2 linked regions of the Arabidopsis thaliana genome follow. The protein of the gene in region 1 interacts with the protein of each later gene in a pairwise test. Each region holds a gene or a part of one and is shown in the gene's direction. Other genes may lie near its edges. The genes, in order: AT5G61820 and AAP5.

Region 1 (5,134 bases):
ATTTTGTAAACCTTTGACTAAAACTATGGCACTAAACGAAGACGACACAATCTATTCCAACGTTTACAAACATTCAACAACCCTCAGAAGTTGATCTCACGTCTCTCTGCGAAGAATTTTCCGGTTACTGCCTCTTCGGAAAGGACCAGGCTAAGCCAAACTCCAGTATCAGCTGCATCTTCAGGTGGCATATTTCCGGCGTAGCCAGTCATCGCAGTCTTCACCCAACCAGGGCAAAAGCTGTTAACATAAATCTTCTCTTCCTCTCCTCGTCTCTCAAGTTCTTTTGCCATTAGTCTCGTGTAAGCATTGACTGCAAGCTTAGACATGGAGTAGTCAGTGAATGTCTGAGGCCACCCGCCTGATTCCCAAGTTCCGTCTTTTACTTGGTTGATGAATTTAGAGACAGTTCTGTCTATAAGTTCCTCGGTCAGCAAATCTGGACTGCTTAGCTGATCTCTCAACTCTACATTTGCCAGTCTCTGCAATTCATGAATTTCAACGAGATTTTCTTTTTTCAAAAAAAATCAAAGATATGAGTGAAAGAGTTTCTTACATTACGTCTTCCATTTACTCTACCTAGCCGAGAACTAACATTGACTACACGAGCGCCATGAGGAGATGGTCTCATCAAGGGTATCATAGCTTTTGTCATGTTTTTGGTTCCTTGGTAGTTAGTAGATATAACTGTTTCAGCAAATTCAACCGTATTATCTGAGCCGAGATTGTAGTTAACACCTGCATTATTCACCTGAAAAACATAGCAACACAAATGCATGTAATTCAAATCTAAGAAAACATTAGAACTATCCTCCAAGATTACGAATCGATAAGGATCTTACGAGAATATCTAAACCTCCAAATGTTTGCTTAAGCCAGCAACCAAACTCTCTAATCGACGAAGAGTCTGTGACATCAAGTTGATGAAAATAAACCTTGAGACCTTCTTCTTGGTGCCTCAAAGATTTAACTGCTTCAAGACCAGCATTCACGTTTCTAGCTGTAAGAACAACCGTCAATCCGTGAACCGCAAGCTGTCTTGCAATCTCGAATCCAATCCCGCGGTTTGAACCAGTCACTACTGCTACATTTTCACAAGACCACCACCTAAAAAATCATTTGACGCCTAATGACAAGTCAAATTCAAAAAGAGGGCTTGAGAGACACATACTTCATCATTTTCAATTTCTCTAAATTCTTTTGGTTTAGTGAAACACAAATCTGTAAGTACCAACAACAATACCAATTCAGTCTCCAACTCCCAAATAGAGAAAAATAGAAACTCATCAAACACTGTAAGCGACACTAAGAAATGGATTTAAGCAAGTGAAATTAGAGATTAACACATCGAATGCTGTGAAATTGAGAATCTCGCAGAGTAAATGATGATAGATCTTAGGATACAAAGAAGCCGAAACAATTGGACAAATTAGGTCTCTTCATACCTATGGTGGTCAGAGTAAGGAATAGTTCGAAGGAGAGAGATCTCCTGCATTCTTTTCTCCCTTCTCTCTCGAGCTTTCTCCTTGTTCGTCATCGTCTTCTTCGCTCGCGTCGCGTGTTTGGGTGTACCGTTTATCTTACTCCTGAATCAAATTCGTTGTACATTAGCCATCAGCTCTAAGGAATTAATAAATGAGACCTTCAACTTTAATAAAAACCACATAATGGCCCAAACCTTATACTCTTAACTATTCAATCCACCAGACACCAGTAACGCTTGGCAGTCAAATCTTTATTGAGTGGGTTCATACTCTAAACCGTTTACTGAAATTTAATTCAACTAAACAAACCAATGATTTTTCATACACCATTAATTACAAAAACTACAAGATGAAAAACTTTTCACGATATTTGTTCGAAAATCTAAACCAATGATTTTTTCCCTCAATCTTCGTTTATAGTTTAATTTATGGTCGTCTATCTACTTTTGTTTGTTTTATTTGTCGTCGGTTGTCTAATATCCATCCATTCTCACATAAATGTTTAGTGGTACTATGATAACCTAACATGATTGTGTGAGATAAAATAGAAGAGGACAATACTAGCGGGTTTGTGACGAGAGCGGTGACGTCACTGGTTTACACGTGTCACGTACTAACGATTCTCGCGTCCATACGTCTCTGCGTTCATGGGCTATTGATAAGTATTAAATAGACAACTCCCGAATTTGTTTTGTTACTCATCACAATAGCGGGAAACTCATCCGGCTTCTGGAAATTTCCGTTTATCCGATTCGTTCTCACGTAAATCACTCTCTCTCTCTCGCTCTCTCGCTCTCTCTGTATCGTCTCTGTTTGATTTCGCAATTGAATTCTGGGTTTAGGAATCTCTTATTGTATTTAATTTGACAATCAAATTTTGGGTTTTTTAAATACCAAACTAGAAAGTGAGATTACGAAAGATTGTTCCATAGTGGATACGTTCGTCTTTCAAAAGGTAAGTCAAACTTTTTTTTTTTGGGCAAAGGAATTTTGAATAAGCAGCACAAGTACTAAAATCTTCTGATTAAAATTAGGTTTCAAGTGGTTATCCTCTATTGTTCATAGTTTGAGCTAGGTTTAGAGTTTGTGATATCTTATCCATGTTTATGAATTTGATTAGCTGAATCAATCTCTTTCCTTTTATATATGATCATGAAACAGGAGATGATGGCTCGTTACCACAGGAGATCGATGATCTTGTGCTTAGTTCTGCTCTCATTAAGCATATCGCCGAGCCAAGGCTTCCTAGGGACAGAGGAAAAGATCAAATCCGCTGTCTTTTACTCACCAAAACTTGTGATGAATCCAGGATCAGTTGCAAATCCTTACTTATTCGACATCGATTTCCCAAGAGGTCATATCGGCCTCAAAGCTTTCGATGCTGAAGTGGTTGACGAAGCGGGCAAACCCGTTCCTCTACACGAGACCTATCTCCACCATTGGATTGTCGAGCCATACTATGTACGTAAAGGTTCCAAGCTTCCACAGAGAGAAATGTTCAGGAATCATGGATTTTCCAGGGAAGATCCTGAAAGCAATCTTGATTCCAAGTCAGATATTATTCTTGTGAAAAATGGAGGGTTGTGCAGGAGTTTAACACTCAGACATTTCTTTGGTTTAGGATCAGAAACCCGCGAAACCTCGACGTATGTTCCTGATCCCTACGCTATTGAAATCGGTAATCCTGAGGAAACACCTGATGGTTATGAATTCAAATGGCTTCTTAACATTCACGCGATAGACACCAGAGGTGTGGAAGATAAGAAAGGATGCATAGAATGTTTGTGTGATCTGTATAATGTTACCATTGATGAGTATGGTCGAGCTATAAGGCCTGGATACAAAGGAGGTTTATACTGCTGCTATGATAAGACTCAATGTCGGGTGAAAAGCGGATTTGACAATGGGGAGAAAACAAGAACTCTGTATTTGAAGTATACCGTGAGATGGGTTGATTGGGACAGCTCGGTTTTGCCCGCTAAGGTTTATATTTTCGATGTTACAGATTCTTGGGAAAGATCAAAAGGAGATAGCCAAGAACATATTTGCCATGTCAGTAAGAACTTTCATATCTGCTTAATGCCGTTACTTCTACTTCATTCTCTAATAATTTTCCGGGTCTTTGTGATTTTCAGGTGGAATACGAGGTGAAACCGTGCAAAACCAATGGCGATGGATGCGTTGACGTTAAGAAAAAGAGCTTAGTGATGCCATTTGATGGGTATATTGTCTACGGGGTAGCTCACCAGCACGCTGGTGGTATCGGTGGTGCTCTATACCGAGAGGTAACTAAGAGACTGATTTAGTTTAGGCTACTGCAAAACGAAAAGATTGAAACTTTGTTATTGAATTGAGACTCTTGTTGTGTTGTGGATCAGAACGGTGAAGGGATATGCGCTTCAATGCCGAAGTATGGCAATGGAGATGAACCTGGAAACGAAGCTGGTTACATTGTTGGAATGTCGTCTTGTTATCCAGCTGATCCAGTGAAAGTGAGCTATGGAGAGACATTGACTTTGGAATCTAATTACAGTAATGCCGTTGGTCATACCGGAGTTATGGGACTCTTTTACATCCTCGTTGCTCAGCAGCTGCCGGAACCAGATAGCTCCTTGCCTAATAAACAACATTTTGAGGTAATCACTCCACCCGGTACCAGAACTCGGTTAAGGTCAAACCGGTTACGATACATATACAGTGTATTGCCATGTGATTATTTAACTGACGTTAATATCTCTCACTTCCTTGTAGGCACCTGCGAGAAGCTTGAGCTTTTTAGCCATTTTTGCAGTGACGGTAGTTGTGGCTGTTGTGGTTTTAATAGCCGCCGTGATATACCGGAGACAGAAACGGGAAGATGGTTACCAATCACTTAGTACTTAAAAAAGAGCAAAAACCATGTCGACTCTATATATGTCTTCAAAGTGAATTCTGTTTGTATACATAGAATAAAAGATTATTTTGTTGTCATCTTCCTCTGATGTGATATCTCTGTAATAGTTACGTGTAAGAAGAACTTTTCTTTCTCAAATACATCACATTCACACAATAAACTAACATTATTTTCGTTGTCTTGGTTCCAAACCCTTTAATACTTGCAAAATTACAATTTTTTTTAATCTCTATAACTTATGAATTACTCTACATCCAAATTTGTGATGTTTCACTGTCTAAAATCATCTGTATGATCAAAAATTCAAAAGTTGATATTCAGTTACTAGAGTTAGTTATAAAAAAAAACTTTTACCGTCACTGTTCTGGTTCAACCCAGATATTGTTCTCGTTCAAAGCAGCTAAACCGGTGAAAACTGACTCGTTGCTGTGATTCACTCAAACTAGACCGGTTTTATTTGACTGGTGTTTTTTGTGTGTCATATATGTCGGAAACAGTTTTGAGTGGTCCACGAACAATAATGGAGACTCCAGCTGTCCATGGAAGATTTGAGGCAGATATTTTTTGCTCACCGACCTCAAATCTCAGAGACAAAAGTTTTGTCCAAATAAATTTCATTTTTGAATTCTGATTTTGATTATTTCCGAAATTCTTTTTTCTTCCAAGAATGAAGGGACCATAGAATCGTCCAAAACTGTTGAAACTTGAAAGCTTTCCAATTTTGCTCATCTGGGTTTCTCGATTGATCGTTAACCAG
Region 2 (5,746 bases), on another chromosome or scaffold:
TTCGGAAAACCATTGCACAGCAATAAGCATTTAAAAAAAGTGAAACCCATTCTATCAATGTTATGTTGAAAAACTTCATCTAATTGAGGTGTATTTTGCATGTTCATACAAAAACTCCAAAAATAAAATTGAAAATAATCGAGAATATTTAACATTGTTATGTAACTTCAATTTGTGAGAATTTATCAACGAAAATAGAGTATATATAATATGACCAAACTCATAACAGGCAAACACCACTTTACATAGTTTCCACTTTCATTTCCTCAAACCAACCGAAAGTTTTTAGAAACATAGTAGATATAGACAAAGAAGTCCATGGTAAACGTTAATTATTTAAATAACTATTAAATAATAAATTAATAAAATATTTACTTTATCAATTTGTTTGTAATTATGGTTGAAAACTTGCCCATCAAAATTTTAAATATATTTTCTTTTTCAAAATAATATCTAATTGCCTATGATAAATGATTCTAAAATAGTAAAGTATACCACCAAATCGTTCATTTATACTCTTTAGAAATGATATAACGACAGTGTATTTTCCAACCGAATGGTCGGTGTTTCCAGTGTATTTGAAAGAATTTAAGAGCGAGAAAGAAAAATTTATTAGCATCTCTTTATTTTTAATTCCTCGGAATTGGTTCGTTTGAGTTTAATTAATTCCGGTTGACAAAAAAAAAACAAATGATATAAGGAATTTGAAAAGTTAAATCCTCCGTCAACTTTCTCTTGACATCAAAAGTACATATAACATAATAATCAATAATAATGAAAAAACAACTATATCTCTAATTATAATTACTTTAATTTACTCAAATACTCATTAAATTAAGGACATGAATCATTGTTTTTAAATTTTAAAATTAAAATATCTATATTTTAAAGGTAAAAATCTTAAAATTTGGTTTGATGTTTAGCTTTTATGGAATTTTTAAGAATTGAGATTAATCCTAGCAATTCTAGCAATGTTATGTTGAAAAACTTCATCTAATCGAGGTGTATTTTGCATGTTCATACAAAAACTCCACAAATAAAATGGAAAATAATCGAGAATATTTAACATTGTTTTGTAACTTCAATTTGTGAGAACCTATCAACCAAAAAAGAGTATATAATGTGACCAAACTCATAACATGCAAACACCACTATACATAGTTTCCACTTTCATTTCCTCAAAACCAACCGAAAGTTTTTAGAAATATACTAGATATAGACGAAAGAAGTCCATGGTAAACGTTAATTATTTAAATAACAAATTAATAAAATATATACTTTATCAATTTGTTTATAATTATGGTTGAACACATGCCCATGTTAAATATATTTTGTTTTTTTTGAGTAATGCCTATGATAAATGATTCTAAAATATTAATATAAGTATACCACCAAATCGTTCATTTACAAATGATATAACGAATTTCAAAAGTTAAATCTTCCTTCAACTTTCTCTTGACATCAAAAGTACATATAACATAATAATCAATAATAATAAAAACTACTATATCTCTAATTATATATTTTCTTAAATTACTTTGATTTACTCAAATACTCTTAAATTATAAGGACATGAATCATTGTTTCTAAAATTTAAAATTAAAATATCTATATTTTAAAGGTAAAAATCTTAAAATTTAGTTTGATTGTTTAGCTTATATGTAATTTATAAGATTTGACATTTTGCACTTGTTGTCACTAATGTATAACAATGAAACCATTTTCTCATAAAAAGATAAACTATTTTTGTAGTCCTCACAAAAAAAAAAAAAAAAGCACATGCGGTTTCCTCTGCTTCTTCCTTCTTACAAGTTGGATGTCTCCGTCTTCCACGGTGCTTATAAATTAGTGAAACAACAAAAGCTTTGGTCAGTATTTATATTATCATGCATTTCTAATCTCTACTTTGTCAATTCCTATACTTTCACTCTCTTCCAATTATATAATCTCTGGTCCATAGAAAACATCGGTCTCTTGTCACCGTTGATTTTATTTGGTCAAAATCATTCTTCTTCTCGCTGAATAATCGTTGATTTCACTTCTTCTTCTGGTCTTAAAAAAATTCAAGATCTATACGAGAAAACACAAAACAAGTAAAACTTTTTCAACCGTTTTTCCTGTCGGTAAAGTTTGGATTCTTCTTAGTAAATTTTGGTCTTATTGTCGACCAAAAGAAGAAGATGGTCGTTCAGAATGTTCAAGATTTGGATGTTCTTCCGAAACATAGCTCGGATTCATTCGATGATGATGGTCGTCCCAAGCGAACCGGTAATTTCTCTTTTTTTCTCTAATTTTATGTTTTATGTTTCTCTAATCTGTTCAAACAAGAATCAAAGTAAATATAAAATTAGTCTCTGTTTCCTATAACCGGGGATTTGAACCCGAAACCCGGAATTTTTTTAATTCCGGGTTTCGGGATACAAACCGAAACCCGGAGTCTGTTGAACTTGCAATTTAAAACATCTACAGTAAATATATGCATAGGCTTTGTTTGTTAAGGGGTGACAAATTCCTACTTCTTTTTTTGTGTGGATGTTATGGAAAAGTATGATTTTTGTTACTAAAGTGTATGAACACTATTGTTACTACAGTTGTTGTCTTAAAATTAACGGTTAAACAAAACAGACTTTATTGTTACTACAGTTCTTGTCTTAAAATTCTGTTTGAATGTGATTGGTGTTTAGGGACGGTGTGGACAGCAAGTGCACACATAATAACAGCAGTAATTGGGTCAGGAGTGTTGTCATTGGCATGGGCCGTTGCTCAGATTGGTTGGATTGGTGGTCCAGTGGCTATGTTACTCTTTTCTTTCGTTACTTTTTACACATCTACCCTTCTCTGTTCTTGTTACCGATCTGGTGACTCTGTTACCGGCAAAAGAAACTACACTTACATGGACGCTATTCACTCCAACCTCGGTAAACAAAAAAAAAATCATTTCGGTTTCTTTTTGGTGCATATATTGGGATATTGAACCGAAGATCGACGGTTGAGATGACAAGGCCAAGATATAACAAAAAGATATTATTCTAGAAGATAAATGTTAATATTGAAGTTTAGAAAGTTTAACATTTATCTTTTAGAATAATATTTTCTTGCCGTATCTTGGCCTTGTCATTTCAACCGTTGATCTCTGTCGATCTCTGGTTCTCCATATCGGTTCCATATCCCAATAGTTATTATCATCAAAAACTTAATTCATTCTTGATTCATTTTTAGGTGGGATTAAGGTGAAAGTATGTGGAGTTGTGCAATATGTTAATCTATTTGGTACAGCAATTGGATATACAATTGCATCAGCTATAAGTTTGGTGTAAGTTAAAACTTTGCTTTCACAAAACTCTTTTTATTTTAATTGTTCACATTTGTCCAAAAAAAGTTAGATGCGTGTTTTATTTTGCTATTCAATATTGTCCATACAAGTCATTAATGTTTGGCTCAATAATGCAGTGTTTTAGTCAATGTAGTCTTGTTTTGTGCCATTAAAGATTCGAAAGAACGGCTCTATTATTGTTTGACTTGTTAACTAATTTTCTTGAATAAAAAATTTACAGAGCAATCCAAAGGACAAGTTGCCAACAGATGAATGGACCAAATGATCCTTGTCATGTTAATGGAAATGTTTACATGATTGCGTTTGGTATTGTACAAATCATATTCTCTCAGATTCCTGATTTTGATCAGTTATGGTGGCTTTCCATTGTCGCTGCGGTCATGTCTTTTGCTTATTCTGCCATTGGACTTGGCCTTGGTGTCTCTAAAGTGGTAGAGAACAAAGAAATTAAAGGTAGTCTCACTGGAGTCACTGTTGGGACAGTGACACTGAGTGGGACAGTGACATCGTCGCAGAAAATATGGAGAACATTTCAGTCTCTTGGCAACATTGCGTTTGCGTACTCTTACTCGATGATTCTCATCGAAATTCAGGTATTTTTGTTACGCGAGTTTTTTTTTTTTTGAAAATAATGTTAAGTTAGATTCAAAAGAAAAATAACGTTGTTACAACTAGTGCATCGTTTGGTTTATTTGTTAAGCGAGTTTGTGTGATAAGAGTTTGTTTAAAGGATGTTTTAATCAACTAGACGATTTGATGATCCAGGACACGGTGAAATCACCGCCTGCCGAAGTAAACACGATGAGAAAAGCGACTTTTGTAAGTGTGGCAGTGACTACAGTCTTCTACATGCTATGTGGCTGTGTAGGGTATGCAGCATTTGGGGATAACGCACCCGGAAATCTCCTCGCTCATGGAGGGTTTAGAAACCCATATTGGTTGCTTGACATTGCTAATCTCGCTATAGTGATCCATCTAGTCGGTGCTTACCAAGTCTATTGCCAACCCCTCTTTGCCTTCGTCGAGAAGGAAGCCTCTAGGAGGTTTCCAGAGAGCGAATTCGTCACAAAAGAGATCAAGATCCAACTCTTCCCGGGGAAGCCCTTTAACTTGAATCTCTTCAGGCTCGTATGGAGGACGTTCTTCGTGATGACAACAACGTTGATCTCAATGTTAATGCCTTTCTTTAACGATGTAGTCGGTCTCTTGGGGGCCATTGGTTTTTGGCCTTTAACGGTTTATTTCCCAGTGGAAATGTACATTGCACAGAAGAATGTTCCGAGATGGGGCACAAAGTGGGTTTGTCTACAAGTCTTGAGTGTGACATGTCTTTTTGTGTCCGTAGCCGCGGCCGCGGGATCTGTTATTGGCATTGTTAGTGATCTCAAGGTCTACAAACCTTTCCAGTCTGAATTCTGAGATCATACGGGAAAAATAAACTCCTGCTAAAAGGGTTAAGATTAGAATTGAATGTTTTAATGTCATATTTGTATTAGTTAACTTTGTGTAAGTGTTCAATTATAAATCATGTTTCTACCGAGAATTCTTACAACATTGAACTATCAATGATTAAAAGTAGTCATGTATAAGGATAGCTTTTTCGACACTTGAGGTAGTAGAGATGTATTAAACATTTAATACTTATAATTAATTTTAGAAGTCTATAAACCAAAGGAGCTACAAGATGTTTTGTGTTTATCTCCAAAATTCTTCAAATTCTTAAATCGTTTATCTTCTTGTAAACACTCTCCAAAACTAAAGATCCCCTAGATAAAATTGAGCTAACAATGCCTAATGAAGCCATACAAATAAGATAATCAATGTTTACCTTGACAAAACAATAATTAAAATTTAACAAAAGCAAATCGAGAATAATGATATGACACTGAAAATATTCTGATCTTTCTTTTACAAAGCAATCGATGAATTCTCAGTTAGTTACACAATAAATAACATTAGTTACATTCAAAAGCTATACAATCAAATGAGTGAAAGTACTTAAGAATAATATCACATGCTTGGTGTCTTTTTGATACCTCAACTCTTTTGTTTTATATATACTCAAGAACTTTAATAATATAAAAAATAACTCAACCAATGATGATATAGTTTTAATTTCCTAAACTACAAGTGCAAAGCAATCAAAGTAGTATTAGGGTCGATCGGTAAAGAATTTAGAGTAACGCACACCAATGTCACATTTTGTTTTTACAAGACAAACATGTCTTTTTAGTTTGAAATACCTAAGCTAACTAGATCATACACATTGTCTTCAACAGAATGAACTATGTGATATAACTCCATTTCAAAAATTCTTTGGTTTTATGGTATTGATGACGCTCTCATGGGTCCATAAATAATAAGAATCTCAAACATATTTTTGTAGATTAGTTGAGACCTTATGAAGCTACT

What was found.
Region 2: the proteins of AT5G61820 (region 1) and AAP5 interact in a two-hybrid assay, tested with the Arabidopsis thaliana proteins (one large-scale study listed by BioGRID).

What each region holds. Positions count from the first base shown.
Region 1 is NC_003076.8:24,833,738-24,838,871, reverse strand, and holds AT5G61820 (stress up-regulated Nod 19 protein), read left to right. Parts: upstream 1-1,938; 5' UTR 1,939-2,246; exon of another isoform or gene 2,247-2,439; intron 2,440-2,645; 5' UTR 2,646-2,648; coding exon 2,649-3,536; intron 3,537-3,619; coding exon 3,620-3,769; intron 3,770-3,862; coding exon 3,863-4,120; intron 4,121-4,235; coding exon 4,236-4,367; 3' UTR 4,368-4,572; downstream 4,573-5,134. Other genes in the region: AT5G61830 (NAD(P)-binding Rossmann-fold superfamily protein), read right to left, coding at 84-482, 557-751, 843-1,107, 1,446-1,537.
Region 2 is NC_003070.9:16,763,658-16,769,403, reverse strand, and holds AAP5 (amino acid permease 5), read left to right. Parts: upstream 1-1,718; 5' UTR 1,719-2,180; coding exon 2,181-2,268; intron 2,269-2,684; coding exon 2,685-2,918; intron 2,919-2,965; exon of another isoform or gene 2,966-3,145; intron 3,146-3,219; coding exon 3,220-3,313; intron 3,314-3,554; coding exon 3,555-3,927; intron 3,928-4,099; coding exon 4,100-4,753; 3' UTR 4,754-5,012; downstream 5,013-5,746. UniProt on the Arabidopsis thaliana protein: Amino acid-proton symporter. Stereospecific transporter with a broad specificity for glutamate and both neutral and basic amino acids. Reduced affinities for asparagine and valine.